Linked DNA regions of Arabidopsis thaliana. The protein of the gene in region 1 interacts with the protein of each later gene in a pairwise test. Each region holds a gene or a part of one and is shown on either strand. Other genes may lie near its edges.

What was found. The genes of interacting proteins can lie anywhere in the genome.
Region 2: the proteins of TCP15 (region 1) and MYB37 interact in binary tests that used the Arabidopsis thaliana proteins (3 or more experiments, as listed by UniProt).

What each region holds. Positions count from the first base shown.
Region 1 is NC_003070.9:26,214,328-26,223,092, reverse strand, and holds TCP15 (TCP family transcription factor), read right to left. Parts: upstream 7,085-8,765; 5' UTR 6,645-7,084; coding exon 5,667-6,644; 3' UTR 5,022-5,666; downstream 1-5,021. Other genes in the region: AT1G69710 (Regulator of chromosome condensation (RCC1) family with FYVE zinc finger domain-containing protein), read right to left, coding at 44-133, 232-318, 537-602, 748-768; HVA22C (HVA22 homologue C), read right to left, coding at 1,430-1,507, 1,594-1,852, 1,934-2,056, 2,417-2,443, 2,689-2,756. UniProt on the Arabidopsis thaliana protein: Transcription factor involved the regulation of plant development. Together with TCP14, modulates plant stature by promoting cell division in young internodes. Represses cell proliferation in developing leaf blade and specific floral tissues.
Region 2 is NC_003076.8:7,691,363-7,700,226, reverse strand, and holds MYB37 (myb domain protein 37), read right to left. Parts: upstream 4,093-8,864; 5' UTR 3,994-4,092; coding exon 3,858-3,993; intron 3,766-3,857; coding exon 3,636-3,765; intron 3,239-3,635; coding exon 2,515-3,238; 3' UTR 2,205-2,514; downstream 1-2,204. Other genes in the region: AT5G22990 (C2H2-like zinc finger protein), read left to right, coding at 7,759-8,733. UniProt on the Arabidopsis thaliana protein: Transcription activator of genes involved in the regulation of meristematic competence, such as CUC2.

The DNA of each region.
Region 1 (8,765 bases):
ACTTGTTTATGAGCATACATGAATATTGCAGAGAGAAACTCACCGTGCGTTGTCCAGGAACAATTCTCAGGACTTGACTCAGTTTAATCTGCTTCTCTTCTTTGCCAGAGTACCATACTAATGCAGACTCGTCCTATGACAAATTCACATGTAATATAATTGAGCAAACCAAAAGAATACAGAAAGTTCTCTCTCTCTAAAGAGAAACATAGGAGTCCAAGAAAACCTTACACTTGTGAGCTGGAATGGACAAAACTTAGGCTTCCCTCTACGTCCATATTTCAACAAGTAAGACCCTTTCTTAAGTGACGTAATGGCCTGAATAGGAAAGACACACTTCTTAATACCATACCCACTAAAAGGGAATCACATCAAAAGATAACATTTTTAATGACTTAGGTGTAGAAAGTGAGTTATATAAACACATCAAACTCAATGTGATTCTTCAGAGCAATTGCGTATTCTAAGCATATATGAACAAAAGTTTCCATCTTCCAATGTTTCAACAGAAGAAAGGTGATAAAAGAGTAAAGTACCTGTTCAACGTCTCTCTCAGAGAAACTAGTTCTCAAGGAATCAGCCATTGAAGCTGCTGCAAAGAGCTAATTCCCTTTCGAATCATATTTCTCAACCAAATCGTTTAACATCACTCGAATGTCTTTCCAATCATATTCCTAATTCTTATCTAACCCATTCTACTACTTTAGCTTCCTCCTTCAAAATCTAAGATTTCAAAATCCCCCAAACTCTCAACTCCAAAATGCACATTAACCAAACAACAAGAAAATACACTCTGAAGAATCCTCAGAAACAAACAATTTATACTCCAATTCTTCTTCACCAAATCGTTGTTCACCAATATTTTTCAAATCCTCGTGATTATGATTAAATCGAAGACGAAGCAAATCCTAATCAATCTGAAAAACCTCAATGAAGAATCTCTATGATTGATCAATAGCGAAAGAACAGAATCCAGAAAATATCCTCGCCGGACGTAGAAGCAGTACCAACGTCGATCGCCGGCGATGATTCGAGAGGCTATTCGTGATTTGAGAACCTACGCTTCTGCTTCGCTCCCGTTTATTCAAATTTTTATTTCATCATTAGCTCCTTTCAAAATTCGCATATCATTAATAATTATCTAAGCCCGGCCCATTTTGTTACAAGCCCAACTCGTTAAATAATTGAATAGTCTAATCATCTAAGTGTAAAACTGGACAGAGCTTGGCCCACTAATTTTGACTTTAAGTTTGCTTACACACGCAAAGGAGAGAAAATGTTTATTTGATTTTTCACAAAAATAAGCAGTCCTAAATAAGGGCTTATACATAATCCACGCAAATTATAACAACCATAGAAACAGACAATATATTGTCACATAGCAAACTTATAAACTGAAAGTAGCTAATTAAACCGGTTTAAGAACTTATTAGTACCTATAGTCATCATCAAAGATCATGTGATTATTGATTCCTCTACTACTCCTACCTCTTTCATAACTATCCTTCTGCATTCACAAAACACAACATTCATTACCAAATGTACATTACATATGAAAATGATTATGTAAATGTCAATGTGAATTTTACTTACCTTAACGATCATTCGCTCAAACGCTTCGGTACCGTGTTGTTCCATGTATTTTTCAGCAGCAGTGAGAATGTCGTCGTCGTCGCGTTTAGGGAAGAAATTGAATTTCTTGTGAGGAACATACCAAATTTTGGTGGTAGCTCTTTGAGGATCTCTGTAGAATGGTCTAATGAAATGTTTGTAGATATGTTCTGCTCCATTGAATTGTGGTAACACTAACCAACAGATCCCAAACAACTTCATGTATGGCCATATAGGAAACCTTATGATAACAAAAACAAAAACTAATATTATGATGAATACATGTTAAGAAGATATTAAAAGTGTTAATGAATTCACTAACCACTCGAGAGGTTTGGAGAAAGTGAGTTCAAAGAGAGAGATAAGTGCGTAAAGAACCCAGTAAGTAAGCCATTGTTCATCTTCTGGTAATGATCTTGTCTCTATTGCTTTCACTGATGCATATCTGTTCATTTTTTTCACAAACATAATTAGTTTTCTCATATTTTTTTGTAATAAATAATTGAATACATACAAAAGTGTAATGCCTCGTGTCTTGGATTCTAAGTGGGTGTGTGTGGATATACGTGCATCTATCTAAGTCAAGATTCGTACTCTTTTTTAATTATTCCTTAATGACAGAGGATCAAATGTTTCAAAAGGTTAAGTTTTTGATTCTTTTTCCACAAAAATTTCTAATGTTCATATGAATCTGAACTAAAGATTGGCCTAAAAATGTGAGTTTTGCTTACAATAAAATCTCTATCAACTGATGCAACAGATTTAACACACAAATGTATATATGAGAGAGATTGGTTTTACTTACAGAGGATAGACGAGTGTAACCAATGGGCTGCAAAAGCAAAAATGTTGTAAGTTTCAACTTTCAAGATTCCGTTCAAAAACAAAAACTCCAAAAAATTAGTACTAATCTAAAGAGGGTTTCATTTTCAAGAATCTAAGTAGACAATGTAGCTAAACCCAGTTAGCAATAAAACTAAAGAAACTAGATAGGATCTAATTAACACACACACAAAATATCAAGATAGGATCTGTAAAGAGAAATTAAAGAAGAGGCAGAGAGGGAGAGAGATTTACAGAGCAAGGACATCAAAGTTCTTTATGAGAACTTGAAGAACATTATCATCTCCTGAATTTGAAGGCATTGTTACTCTCCAATATCTTAAGCTTTCCCCTTTTTTTTCCTCTCTCTCTCTCTCTTTCACTTACCGTAGAAGTGGAAAAACAAAAGTGGAGGCCAGGTTTCACTTACAGAGACTTCTTGGACTTTTATGACCACTCGCTTCTTTTCTTTTTTTTTACTTTCAAATTTTAGGTAAAAAGAAAAATGGATGAAGAGGTACCGAAAATTTTACTCATTACTGTCGATAATTTTATTTCCTTACTAAACAAAAGTAGAATATTAATTGCGATTTATTTCCTTTAATTGGTCTTATATACTTCTAAAAAAAAACTATTAGTATAACTCTTTACTATACTACATTTTGTAATTTTTATTCTAAATTGATTATGTTGAATACATTATGCGTCTAATCTATCAAGTGCCAGTGTCTCTAGACAATACTTTGACTTTTGCCTTGAAAAACACAAACCTATACTTGAGTACTCTCTTTTTTTTTTCTCTTAGCCCAATACGTGGGCCTTACAAAACATTTAATAAATAGGCCTTATGAGATCCCATGTCATATATCTAGCCCATCAATACCAATCAATGGGGATGGAGAAAATATATTCACTATCCAAACTGGGCTGGAACTTAGAAAAGTATCATCTAATTAGTTCTTTTTCTTTCATAAATGAAAAGGTTCAAAACATTTTGTGATTATAGATAAATATATCTTCTTTATCATGATATCTTCCAGAAATATATAGAATGATTATAGTGAAGAAGAAGAATGATTAAACAAAATAGATAAGCAAGTGATGGAATGATGATCATCTAATCTTTTCCAGATCAAAAACAAAGAACCCACATGAATACACTCTTCTATAATGGTACTTAACTACTTATAACTACGTAGATCCATACATCTATATTTTAAGCATACTTTAGTGAACATTTTAATTCCTTTTGGACCTATTGAGTAATGCCAGATTACTACTACTTGATCTACTTGTTGTGCCCTTTCCTTTTGTTGCAGATTTCTTTTTACTATAAAATAAAACGCCGACATAGAAACAATGATCGGTCATGACTCGTATCTTATTGTTTATCTAGAAAGTAATACGTAAACAATAATATACAAATATCAAAAAAGATTCATGACATCATCTGTGTTTTAGTGTCTATATATACATTTTACTTTTGTCATCGTGAAATCTAGTTTAGTTTAGCCGCCAATTGATATGATTATTGAGATCATCAAATAGACGTTCGTCTATAAATGCTTGATATCAACCGTTAGTAAAAAAAAATGCATGTATGTCACAATATTTGACTTTCTTTAATTACCATATTTGATTAATTGATAGAACATATGGATGAGGTTATATAACCGACATGCCTATGATGTCAAGGAATGGTTCACACCGATCTATAGAAGTTTCAAGTATTATTTCCATAATAAACTGATATATAATTTATATTGTTTATATTAACAGGATGTGTGTGCATTATTTTAGAATTATTAACGTCATAATTCCCATGCTCGTTGATTTATACACCTTTCTCTATGTATACCCATGCATGGTAAGAACGTATCACATACATTATACTAAAATAAATCCAATAATGTAGACCGACACAAAATGCAGCGATATGGACCATATGGTTATTACGCATGTTACATAGACTTGTGTATTTTTCTGTATAACGAAAAATTCCTGGTTATTTTGTATATCATCAATGTATATGTCTCAATTAATTATAGACATATATAATCTATGTTTCATCCAACGAAAACACTTCAGAAATAAATGATCAAGCTGAAATCTATAACCATCAAAAGTTTTTAGTTCTAACTTCAATCTATAAATTTGTTTATAGACATTGTTTTTAAAACACATTTTTCTCTGATTTTCAGCAGAAAATGAAATATATATTCTTGGTATTTTTTGGGTATCCGAAAATTCACAAATATTGACGTATAAATACAGGTTCCTGCTTGGTGATGAGTTTCATAGATCCAGAGATTGTAAATCGTACGTGAGTCTTCAAACATAGCACCAGACTAATTAAGTTCTTAGCTACCTTATACGGATAATGGACCTATATATTTTTTTTTTGATAATTCTCCTTGTATCTTTTGATTCATAATCAAATAATTTTGGTAATATCATTAGCAAAATTAAATGCCTTCAATTTTTGCAACGGCTATAAATTGAACGTATCCAAACCACCATGCGCATAAACCTACTGGCATTAATATGGCATCATATCTACAATGCATCCCCTCGTCAACACACTTATAATTAACCAAAACAATCACACTTAATGCTTTGACCTATATGATTTTGTTACTATATATATCTACATTATCTTAGCATAGTCACCAATAGACCAGTCAGGAGTAAGATGTTAATCATGCAAAGAAATTAACATATTAAAAGAGATAGCTAGAACCTGAATAATTGCTCACAATGCATAAGATGTAGCTTCTTCGAGACAATGTAACCATGAACGAAGTGGAAGATAATAATTTGGCATGCGAAATAATTTATTGATAATCCGTACTGAATTAATATACATATATAAAAATTGTTCAAAAACCCTAATCAAGTATTAGAAAACTCTCACACTCAATAGTAATGAGGAAAACATTTCACAAGACAACTACTTCAAGCAAAAATCTCTAGAATAATAAAACCAAAGCCTTGCATGCAAAAACCACAAACTAAAACATATCGATTATCAGGTTCTTAATTACTTACTCAATACATTAATCAGAAAAATAAACAAGATGAAATCCGTAGAATATTAGAATTTAGAAATAAATAAAAATATATGAAAAAGAAGCAATGCAAAAAAAACACGCTTGTTAAGAACAAACAAACAAACGAAAGGACAAAAAAAGAAAAATAAATCTCACAGAATATATTTGTTTGTGTATGTTTGCCTAGGAATGATGACTGGTGCTTCCATCTTCTTGATGGTTGTGATGATGATCTCCGTCACGGTTTTGCTGGTTGTTGTTATGGTTCCCCGTCTCCGCCACCGGTCGGTAAGCAGCATTCAACGCCGCTAAAACTCCATAATGGCTATGTTCTCCACCGCCACCTCCTCCTCCTCCATAACCAGAAGCCAAAGGCTGTCCAGAAAACAAAGCAATAGGAGCTGCAAAATTCATCAAATGAACTCCACTACCGCCGCCACTACCACCACTGTTGGGGTTGTAAACATCTCCGGCGACAACACCGGAATGATGAGGATTAATATTAAAAGCCCAAAGATTCTGTGTGTTGTCACCACTACTCCAAAACGGTGCCGTTGCAGGACTCTGACTCGTAGGTAAAGATCCAGCAGTTGATTGTACTAGATAGTTACCCATTTGGTTGTGATCTAAAAGCTGTGAAGAAGAAGAAGACGAAGAATGTGACTCGTTCTTGGGACGAACCTGATGCTGATGTTGAAGATGATGAGTCATGGACTGATGTGGTGAATGAAAGTAATAGCTACTAGGAGTTGTACGAAGATGAGCAGCAGAGAGAGAAGATCTTGAGCTACGAAGTGAGATGTTTAAAGAAGTGAAGTTAGCCGGAATGGTTCCAGTCCCTGTAGCGGCTATAACCGCTGGTTCTGCTTGTTGGAGTAGCCACTCAATAGTTTCACCGTCGGATTTGTGACCAAGCTCACGTGTGAGCTGAAAGACACGTGCAGCACACATGGCAGGCATACGGATCCGACGGCCTCGGCCTTCGACTTTGGTGTGTCGGTCTTTAGTAGAGGTTCGTTTAGGAGGAGGCTTCTTAGGTTCGGAGTTAGGTTCGGAAGTAGTAGAGATGATGGCTAAGGAAGTGGAAGAGGAGGAGGTAGAAGAATCAAGAAGCTGGAGAGGGAAGTTGGGTCGATGGTTATGATCCGGATCCGGATCCATGATGATGATGATGATGATGATCGAAGCTTTGGTGGTGGGGAAGTGGGACTATACTACTGTCTCTGTTAGATCTTTATGTGAGCCATAGTTTTTTTCTCTCTCTATAAATCTCTGTTTTTTTGCTGATACTTAGAGAGAGATAGAGAGGTTATAATATGGTCCTTAGGACATGAAACTCCTTTCAGATGGGAAGCTTAGCTGTGTCTATGTCTGAGAGAGAGAGAGAGATTAAAGCAATGAATATGAAAGCATGGACTTTTTTTTTCTCTTGCTGCTTTATATCTTTTGTGTTTTATTTTTGGAATTTTATTTACATTATAAACTATTCCCTTTGAGAATTTTTCGTTATTTTTGGAAATAAAAGAGATGGGCTTACGTGGTTCTCCAATCTGTACAAATATTCATTCAAATAAAATGTTTTTCCTTATTACGTACAGTGATCAAAGTGAGTGAAAATAAATGTTGTTCGTGTATTTATTGTGTTTGGATACATAGTTTTTTACAATAATACAATTACCCTATACGAACACTCTTTTTCATTCTTTACAATAATTAAAAAGTGACGTCAGTTTCTCGTCGTAACTGTTAACTTCAAGCGATCGGGAAATTAATTGCACATTTAGCGAAAATTTCAGCGATTCAGACAGAACTGAGAAGTTTACATATATTTTGTACATATGTGACAACAGAATAATAAATAGATAGAATTATTATTGACAGAATGACAGTGATTAATCCATGGCTCTATGGTAGTTCACGAGATCCACATGATATAATAGAATCCAACTGCTTTTTTTATGAAACAGATGGATTGTTTTTTCTCCTCTGTGACTCTTGAATGAGTTACCAGTTTGATATTATTATTTATAAAACCATAGTTACAGTGCTTTATAGATATATAAAAGCAAATTTGTAATGCTTCTCTTTTGTTTCCACCATTGGAGTTATCTCATTGACATACAATTGTCGTTAAAAGATGTAGCACTAAATTTAGAAAATTATTTTGATACTCTGATGTGGACAGAACATTGATCTTTTTTTTCTGAAACGAATTTTTATATGTAGTGAATAGTGATGAAGAAGGCTCCTTCTTATGTGATGATTATTCATATAAGCTGTTCAAAGAATCAAAATATACGGTGTTACATAGATTATACTACTAATTAGGACCAGCGTAATATATATATATATATATATATATATATATATATGGTAACGTTAAAAATATAATTGAATTAGAGAATACAAAAGAAAAAAATAATATAAAAGTAAATTCGAATTATTATGAAGATATTTTAAATAAATATTTTTTAAAAATCTCAAATTTGTGTTTTATAGAAATTGAGTGTAACAAAATAAATCCAAGTTATTACATAAACCAACATAAGCATGCATATAATAATTGCCAGGTAGTATATTTGAATATACATATGATTTTGTTAAAAGAAATGGAGAAAACCAATTATAAAAATTCTTACACATATTAATTTTGAGTTTAGGCAAATTCATCTTTCTTAGTATATATTGAAAATTGTAAAATATATTTGTTATAATCTTACTATTCTTTTTCAAATGTCTAAGCTTTATGAAGATAAAACTTCTCAAAAATCAAAATATAGTATTTTCTATTGTGGCTAATTATCGTCTCTTAGTTTAGACGAATCATTAACGTTACGTGTAAGGTGTAACTAGTTCTGATGATCTCTTAGGAACGTTGATTAGTCTAACTATTAGAAACTTTACGCATAGCCACATAAAACCTATGGGATGTCCAAACATTTTCGCCCAAACATATTTACAAATGACAAAATTTTATATTTTAATTACTTATATATGTGATATCTTTTTATGTTTTAACTAGAATATGTTCATTGACCATAATTTTCCCTCGTAAAATATAAATAACTAAAAGTATCGGCCTGCTTGTAGTAATTAGTAAACCAATCAAAATATCAAGAAAACTATATATCAAAGACTAAACAGAAAAGAAAACGAATTGATAGTTAAAAGGTGTTGTGCATATTTGACAAATCTAAAAAGCAAAACAATTACGATTCACAAATATGATCAGAAGATATTATGAATAAGAAAGTCAGCCGACTAATTAATCACTCATTAATT
Region 2 (8,864 bases), on another chromosome or scaffold:
GGCTTATAAGTCCCAATTCTTTTTTGGACCAAAAGCTTAATATATCGACCACATACTAAGGGTCCACTAACCATCCGAGAGAGAGATCTTGAGCTTGGTTGGTGGCATCCCTCCATTTCGTTTCAACTCTTCCGTTCGCTTAAAGTTTAGATGAATATAAATCTCTTTTTTAAGATGAATATCAGAATATGATCTATTTATTAAAGTCAGTTAAACATTATTTGTTTTATAAAGTCTCAAATATTTTATATATTCGATCCTTTCTATTTATTTTACCATATGTAACGTTGTATTAGACCGACGTGTAACGTTATTGTCCCTACCTTACTTTTTCTTACTTTTAGTAAATTTTCTTACAAGAAAAAGCAGAGAATAATAGTAATCGAAGGATATGTGCTGAAGGAAAAGATGAACCATCTGGGAAGGGTATATATGTCATTTTCACAAATGAATAGTATCTGCATTTCCATCAATCAATTTCTCCTGGCCGCTCGAGTTACTGACCAAAGGTGATGACTTTTATACACAATCCTTTCCTTCTCTTTCTCTATAGACAACTATACACAATCTTTACATTTTGCTCGTTATTTAATTTAGGCCTCTCAAAACTTTAGACCGGTTCTCAAAAAGAGAATACAAACAACACAACGACAAATAATACAGATATTTCTATATATGCCTATATATTGTAGTGTGTAGTACTCTTTATAATGAACAGATAGTCTACTGGAAACAAAGACTTCTTACAAGTTATCCCATCTAAAAACTTTATCTCGTGGAATTTGATATTACAAAGAATTGGAAAATAAAATCATGGGAAAAATTAAGGTCTTCTTTTGATTTAGTTTTTTTAGTTTCTCATTGATTTAAGGGTTTGATTAGTTTTGTTGCAACTCTCTGTGCAAACGTTATATATATAATTATTTAATTATATATTAAATTAATTATATAGTTATACATGTTTAACAATAATCATGGAAACTATTTTATACCGCTTCATAATGTTTATACAGTTCTCAACTAAAAGTTTCTTCATTTGAACGTTGTGATGCAACGCAGGTCCTGGTTAGCTGTTGGTAGTCATTAGAAAATATATTATTTTTACAAAAAAGAAATGGTCAGAACAATTTTACTATGAATATTAATTTACAAACGGTCTCTAAACTTCCACCAAGAGACCCCGTAATATAAAGTTACCAAAAAAAAATCAAAATATTTCAACGCAAATTTCATCATGTTATTAAAGTCGTATAAAATATTTGTACTTGATATATTCGATTTAACTAAAATCTATTTGTAGTTATAAAAGGAACAATTTAGACATAAACATATGTACCAAATCTCCTTAAAATATTCTTAATTAGTTATACTATGATTTATTTAAAATATAGTTTCAACTAGGGCTGAGAATATAGATAACTCATTTGGATTCGGGTTTTAGATATCTTACTATATTTTTTAATGTAGTTATTTTGTTAATTTATAATAAATTTAATTATATTTGAATATTTTTTATAAAATTTTGACAAATAGGATAAATAATTTTTATATAGTTTAGTTGCTTTGGGTATTTAGGTTTAAAATTAATTGAGAGATTTAGATTTATAATTATAAGTTTAGATATTAGATTATAGTAAAATTAAATATAATTAATATTTTGTATATTAAAATTATATGTTTGGGTAATGGATAATTTACGGACTGGCCCGATACCCACATGTTTACTAAAACTCTATTCAGTAAAATAATTTTCAACTCTAGATCTTCTCAACCCGGTTTTTTTGTTCGAGTATCAGTTTGGATATTGGGTTCGGTTTTTTTGCCCAGGTTTACTTTCAACAATTTAACTATATTGACTCTAAATATACAATTAGGATTAAATAAAATATATCTTTCATAGGTTTTATGTTAAAACATTATATATAAAATAGTAAGATCATTCGCTACAAATTATTTATCTATCGGACATTTCAGTTTGGAAGTTTAGTTCTTTAGCATATGTGTTGTTAACAATAAAACATATATATGTCTTGCAAGTGCGTATATATCTTTAACTAAAAAAGTGCGTGTATATACGATTTTGTTTGCTATATATAGCATACACATATAATGGTAATAGTCTCATCTAATTATAGAAACAATAAAATGCTATATATGTGTGTGGGCGTGTGTGTGTGTATAGTCGTTCGTATGTATAGATCACATACTTTGTTCTTAGTTTTATCTGAAAGCTGAAATGATCTACTCTTCTCGACCAAAACGAAGATCTACTCTTACATCCTTTTGGGTTTCATCAAATCAAATCTCCCATAGTCCCATTAACATTGTCTCTTCTTAACTAGAAATCCAATAAAGAGAGATAAATAAACAAAAAAAAAATACAAAATCCCATAAAACTGATCATAGTCGCTCTCTATCTCATTCTCTCTCCTCCCATACCCCATCAAATCTTTGATATTACTAACAGTCAGTCCAAGATATATTTATATAAGAAGACAAGAGAGTCTAGAAGAACTAGGAGTAGAAATAGGGCAAGCATTTGTATTCTAGTAGGAGGCTACCACTGCTTTTGTTCTCAGCTAGGTTGCTTATCGAACTAGAAGATGAACCTGAACCACCCATGTTTATGTTAGAATTAGTGCCTGTTCCACTAATCATTTGCTTCAAATCCCCATGCCCATTGTAGTAATTATAATACCCTTGTGTGAATTCCCCATTGTACCCTTTTGTCCTCTGGTCAATGTGGTGGTCTATCATCATCATCATCATTATCTCTTCTTGCTTCATCATAATCTCTGATCTTATCCCATTGACGTCTGAAGAAAAACTGGTGTGGTTCTTGTACTGATCACACATATTGTGGTTGAGCAAGAAACCATTTGCGTTCGAGGTGTTGTTGTTGCTGTCCGAGAGATAGAGATCTTGAGGATAATTAGGGTTAATATAGGAAATTATCTGTTTGTCACCAGCTTCGAAGCCATTGATGCTGGAGATGAGGGATTTTGTTGGGTATTGATTAGGGTTTTCAGCATACGGATTGTAAGAAGAAGATGGGATTGTTGTTGGTGAGGTTGGTCTTTTCACATCCTGAGAAATAGGGTTTAGATAAGGAGAAGCCATGGCTGATGATGATGAATCAGAGGAAGAAGACAAGAGTTTCTTCCTTAGCTTTGTGTTCCAATAGTTTTTTATGTCGTTGTCTGTTCGTCCCGGTAGATGAGCTGCTATTATTGACCACCTACAAGTTTCAATTGATGTATATTAATAGCTAATATTGGAGAAAAGTATAGCACTCTTGATGAATTAAAGTTGCTCGTAGTTTTGACTAAATCATGGAATCAATGTAGCTCGTGATTTTGACTAGATTTATGAAGAAATTAAGCACGTTTGGAAATATTTTGATCATTACTTCAAAATAACACATAAATTCAAAATTAGATTTAGGAGAAATTTTGTTACTATTATAAGATTAATTGAAGGAGAGTGTGAATTAATATTTTCTTTAAACCTATCTAAGCAGATAACTATGAAAGGGCCTTCACAGGCAAGTGGGCGAAAAAATGATTTCATTTCTACATTTTTTGTAAGGATCTTATATGATTAAAGATGATTTCAAAAGGAATTAATTAGAGAACCTGCTTCCTATGGCAGCGAAGAGACTAAAAATGATCCTGTCTTCTTCCTCAGAGAAGTCACCATGCTTTATGTTTGGTCTCAAATAGTTTAGCCACCTCAGTCTACAACTCTTCCCACATCTCCTCAAACCTTAAACCACAACAAAGAATGGCATAAGCTCTTATTTGGGCTTAGAAGCTCGAAAAGGTTATCTAGGATTAAGAACATGTGTATGAACTTACCGGCTTTGAGGGGGAAAGAGATCCAATTTCCACCATTACCATACTTTTCAATGTAATCTCTAAGTTTAGAGTCTTCTTCAGGCGACCAAGGCCCTCGCTTCACTTTTGTCTTGTCGCAACACGGAGCTCTTCCCATTTCTCTCGTTAGTGAATTGAAGTTTGAAGAAGAGAAAAGAAAAAGAGAGAAATTGTTATCTCTTACTTGCTTTTTTTAGGATGGACTTTTTGTGTTTATGGAGGAGTAGTTGAATATGTGCCCTTTTAATAAGAGACTTGGATTTGGACACACCCTATCAATTATTATTATATATTATTATCTGGAGAACCAATTATTTATTTCATTTTGTCTCTAAAGCTATGGGTATGGAGAAGTCAACATGATTGACATGCATGCATATTTATTGTTCGTGTTTGAAAAAATTAGATTTCCAATTATTCATTTTATTTTAGCTCGCGCTTCGTTTGATAAAATTACGTTAAAACAAATTAACTGTTCAAAAGATAAACTTTATTTATCCCTTCTTTATGAGGATTTCAATGTCTTTTATTTCATAACTTGGGGTTAGTCTGGAATATCCCTACCAAAATCCAGAGTAATTCCAGAGTAACTTGGTTGTCAGCATACGCATGGTCCAAACTCCAAACAATCAAAATTGAATCATTAATATCAAGAGAAATGCAAATATTTAAAATCCAGAACTTTGTAATGAGTTGACAAAAAAAAAAGTCATTAACTAAAATTATCAGCAGGTTTCTTGATTTGATCATTCGTCCAAATGTATTTTCATACATATGCACATCAACTTGCTAGTTAGTTTTCATCATGAATTTCAAAAGTAAAAAGGAAAAAGAAAAAAAAAACAGTCCCAAGTGGTGTTGATATTACACGGATAAAAGGAAGAAAACATGTTGGAAGAGAAGATTGCATTGGACGGACCAGTGAACTATATGGAACTGTCTGATTATAAAGTGACAAAAAAACAAAACTCAATTTTTGTGAAATTCTATTAACCAAAAATGTATCATCACGAGTTGACTTACCAATGTTGTTTTTCATTATTACATTTAGTAAAGTGCCAAAAGAACCCTTCATAATTATTCATTCGTACTACTTTGATGGACACTTGCATGCATGAATAAATCTTTTGAATTATTTTTTCACACAAACATATAAATATATGTACATAGATGAGTTTCGTGATATGTGCTCTATATATCTATACATATATGAATATCATGATGATCAGGTGTATTTTTGGCCCGACTAATCAACTTCAGAGCTATAATGACCCATCGATGTATCCATATATATGTGTACAATTGATAGATCTACTGTTTTACATCATTTAAGGTACATGTGTTTGATTTACGCATGCAGATATAGTCACACACTCATTTCCACAAATGTGCAAGTAATATGGTACAAATGGCCAAACAAAAGTTTCCTGATTCGTGGTGTACTCCTTACATTTGCTATATTACATTTACATGTGTTACAAAAGGAACTTATACGTGTAGTTACATTCTTTTAGTCATAATTATAGGGAAATAACCTCTCTCTTTTTCTTGTAAAACTGGTAACTTAGTTGTTATTGTTGAAATGTTGTCTAGTCTTGTAAGATAAATTAAGGGTTTAAAATCTCCAAATTGGGCTGCAAATTCACTACAGCCCAAACATATAGGATATTAGGTTGATAAGTAATTATTAAAAAAAAATTAATTTTTAAATACAAATCTGAAATTAAACATGGTAAATAATAATACACATTGTAATTAAGCTATGTATGTATGTGCCTTACAACTTCTAGATGTTATATGCCGTGAAGAATGTCAAATTAGTATCCTCAATATTCTACTCTTTTAATGTAAAATATAATCAAAAACAATATTCTAAATATATATGTGATGTTGTAGTTAAAAATATGCATATTAATATCTTTATTTTAATTTTATATTTTCTATATAAGAAAAGGTGTCTTTAGTCAAATGGTTGATGGTCTATATTTGTAGTCTTATACGTCGGATTTTGACTCGAGTAAATCGTGTTATCATGTGAAGTACTAGGGACTGGATTTTGGGTGAAGCTTTGTCGAGGCAAATAATGTCAACAATATTTTTTTCTAGGTAAAATTAATTAAAAACACGTAATTTATTGAGTGGTTAATGAAAATAATAAAGAATTTGAACTGCAGGTGATCTTTGGCTTTTTAATTCTTTTGTCAATTTACGATTGCATCAATCCCTTTCTCCTACGTCTGCCCTTGAGTTGTAATGTTCAATGCATATGTAGAAAATAGTATGGAATAATTAGCATAAGAGGGAAAACAGTATTGACTCATTGGTGTTCCATGGTTTCCAGACGCAATTAAGAACGATATATACTCATAATTGCTTTTAAACATTTTTGCACCAGAAATTATTAGTATCACTGAATATTTCTCATGCGTCACCTCTTAGACAGGCAATTATTGTATATTTTCTGATCAGTATTATAATTGCATCCATAATAAGAATTATTAGGAAAACAACAACTCATTTCTTATATGCGTGAAGGAGGCAGTAAATAAATAAAAGTATGCTACTATATATGTGTTGACGAAAAGAGATTGATTTATATTTTATTGAAACAAAACAAATAATTTAGATTTAATTGAGTCAAACTATGATTGGATGATGGATACCAAAAAGACAAGAGTCTTTTTCTAGTTTGACTAAGTGTTTATAACTCTGTTTTTCCTCAACGGTTGGCAAACTAAAGTGGACAATTTTACTGAAGTTTTTTGCCAGGCTGTTAAACCATTTCAATATATCAATTTCTAAAAGCAAATTATATAGATATATATACTTTATATGTTATATTAAACAGATATTTTTCAACCTATAAATTATATTATATGTTAATATTAAACAGATATTTTTCAACCTATTAATTATAAAAGTTGTTACCTAATACCCACTGTTACAAATAGACATTAGTAATTTTATGCCAGCAGTATATATCCTTACTATATAGTATGTTAAAAGAGATTTTATGAAAAGGGTACTAAATTTGACCCAATCGATAGTTTAATTTATATTTTGAATTCTTAGCTAAGCAAATTATATCAAGTATAGTATTTTTCTTATTTTGTTGTTTTAAAATAGAGCCATAAGAAAAAATAATATTATTTTTAACCCAGTCAGATAATTTTAGTTTATATTTTTCCTTTTCCCTTTCAATTTTTTTATTATATGAACTCATTATATCTGATACATAGAACGTTATATATATCCAATTTTCTATTAATAAATCAAAAGCTTATCTAAATATCCTATATAAACTTTCCATGGATTTCATATAAAACTTATTATATTGAAAATAATGTTGATGGTGAATATTGGAAAACAAATCTCGACATAGTTATGTATTATATCTAATATGTTATATTTTTAAAACAAATAATTAGAAATCTACACAATAAATGTTAAAAAAAAAACCTCAAGTCTGATAATATTAATTAAAAAACAAAATTTTTTTTTTTTTTAAAACTCAAGTTATATCTAACATTTAAAACAGATGAACAAAAACGGAGTCAACAAGTATTTAGTGGTCCAAAACATTGGCAATATAGAAGAGGATTTCGAGATCATTGCCTAAATAAAAAGAACTTTTTTACTTTATCAAAATATTAGCATACACATAGAATTTTATTTTTGTTCAAAAGTAATAATGAATATTAGAAGATTACATGCATAAAAATTTATTATAATTCAAAAATAATAAATATGGACTAGATTTTTCTCCTTTCGTGTTTAATATCTTTTTTATAATGAATTTATCTGTTTGTTTTATTAATATGTACATATCAATATAAAAGGCGACATACTTGAAAATGTAAAATATGCTCTCTTGATTTTCAAAATGACTTCAATCCCAAATGGCTTAAATTCTTATGTTGACGATACTGTGAACATTTGTGGTTTTACTCCCATCGAAATGAGTTCCAACCTTAGGAATCATGAGTCTAAGATGGTTCACTCAATGTTCAATACTTCTGACCACACGAATCATCATGGTTTGTTTTCTTCCTCTCGTGTGTTTAATTTTTATCAAGATTCACATGTTTCTTCATCTTCTTTTGGTTTCAACAATTCACATATGGCTTATCATATGAGAAAAAACATGGTTTCCACTTTTGGGATGCCTTGCATAACTCAAAACTCAAATAACCCTCATCTTTCTCAAATCTCTATTACTCAAACTATCACAAATAGCTATTCTGCTATTGTTCCTACCTATAATCTTATTACTTCCCAAAATGAATATCAACGTGCCAAAGAACCCAACATCTTCAATCCTCCTTTTTACCCTCCAAATTTTGTTGACAAAAATGTTGGAAACCAATGCCAGATCTTGAATCCTACACCCCTCAATACCATTTTTCCACATCAAGCTTCCATATTTCCTAGGAATGTAGACAAATTTTCTTTTTCACCAAAACAGAACCCTCACCAATATGTTTCGTATCGCCAACCCCTGAAAAGACATTGTAGACCAACCAAAAAATTTGAAAATACTTTTAGTGATTTTGATTCTGGAAAAGATATTGAATACGATGGTCGGACGCATAGCTTACCATATGAGAAATACGGTCCATATACATGTCCCAAATGTAACAGTGTGTTTGACACTTCACAAAAGTTTGCTGCACATATATCATCGATGCACTACAAAAATGAGTCCATAGAAGAGAAATTTAAGAGATATAATGCAAGGAACAAAAAGAGATTACGTAAAAGAAACCAAATGATCCATGAAGAATCTAACAATATCCAACCAGAAGAGATAGTTGCAGAGGAAAGCGGAGGCGATAACAACATAGCAAGTAGCAAGTGACATTGAAACTTTACAACATCAAGAAAAATCAAAGGATATAGAATCCTTGTTATGCATTTCTCAAATGAACATTACAATTATTTAGAATTATTATATTATAAATTATTTAAAAATATGAGTCTCTATCTTTC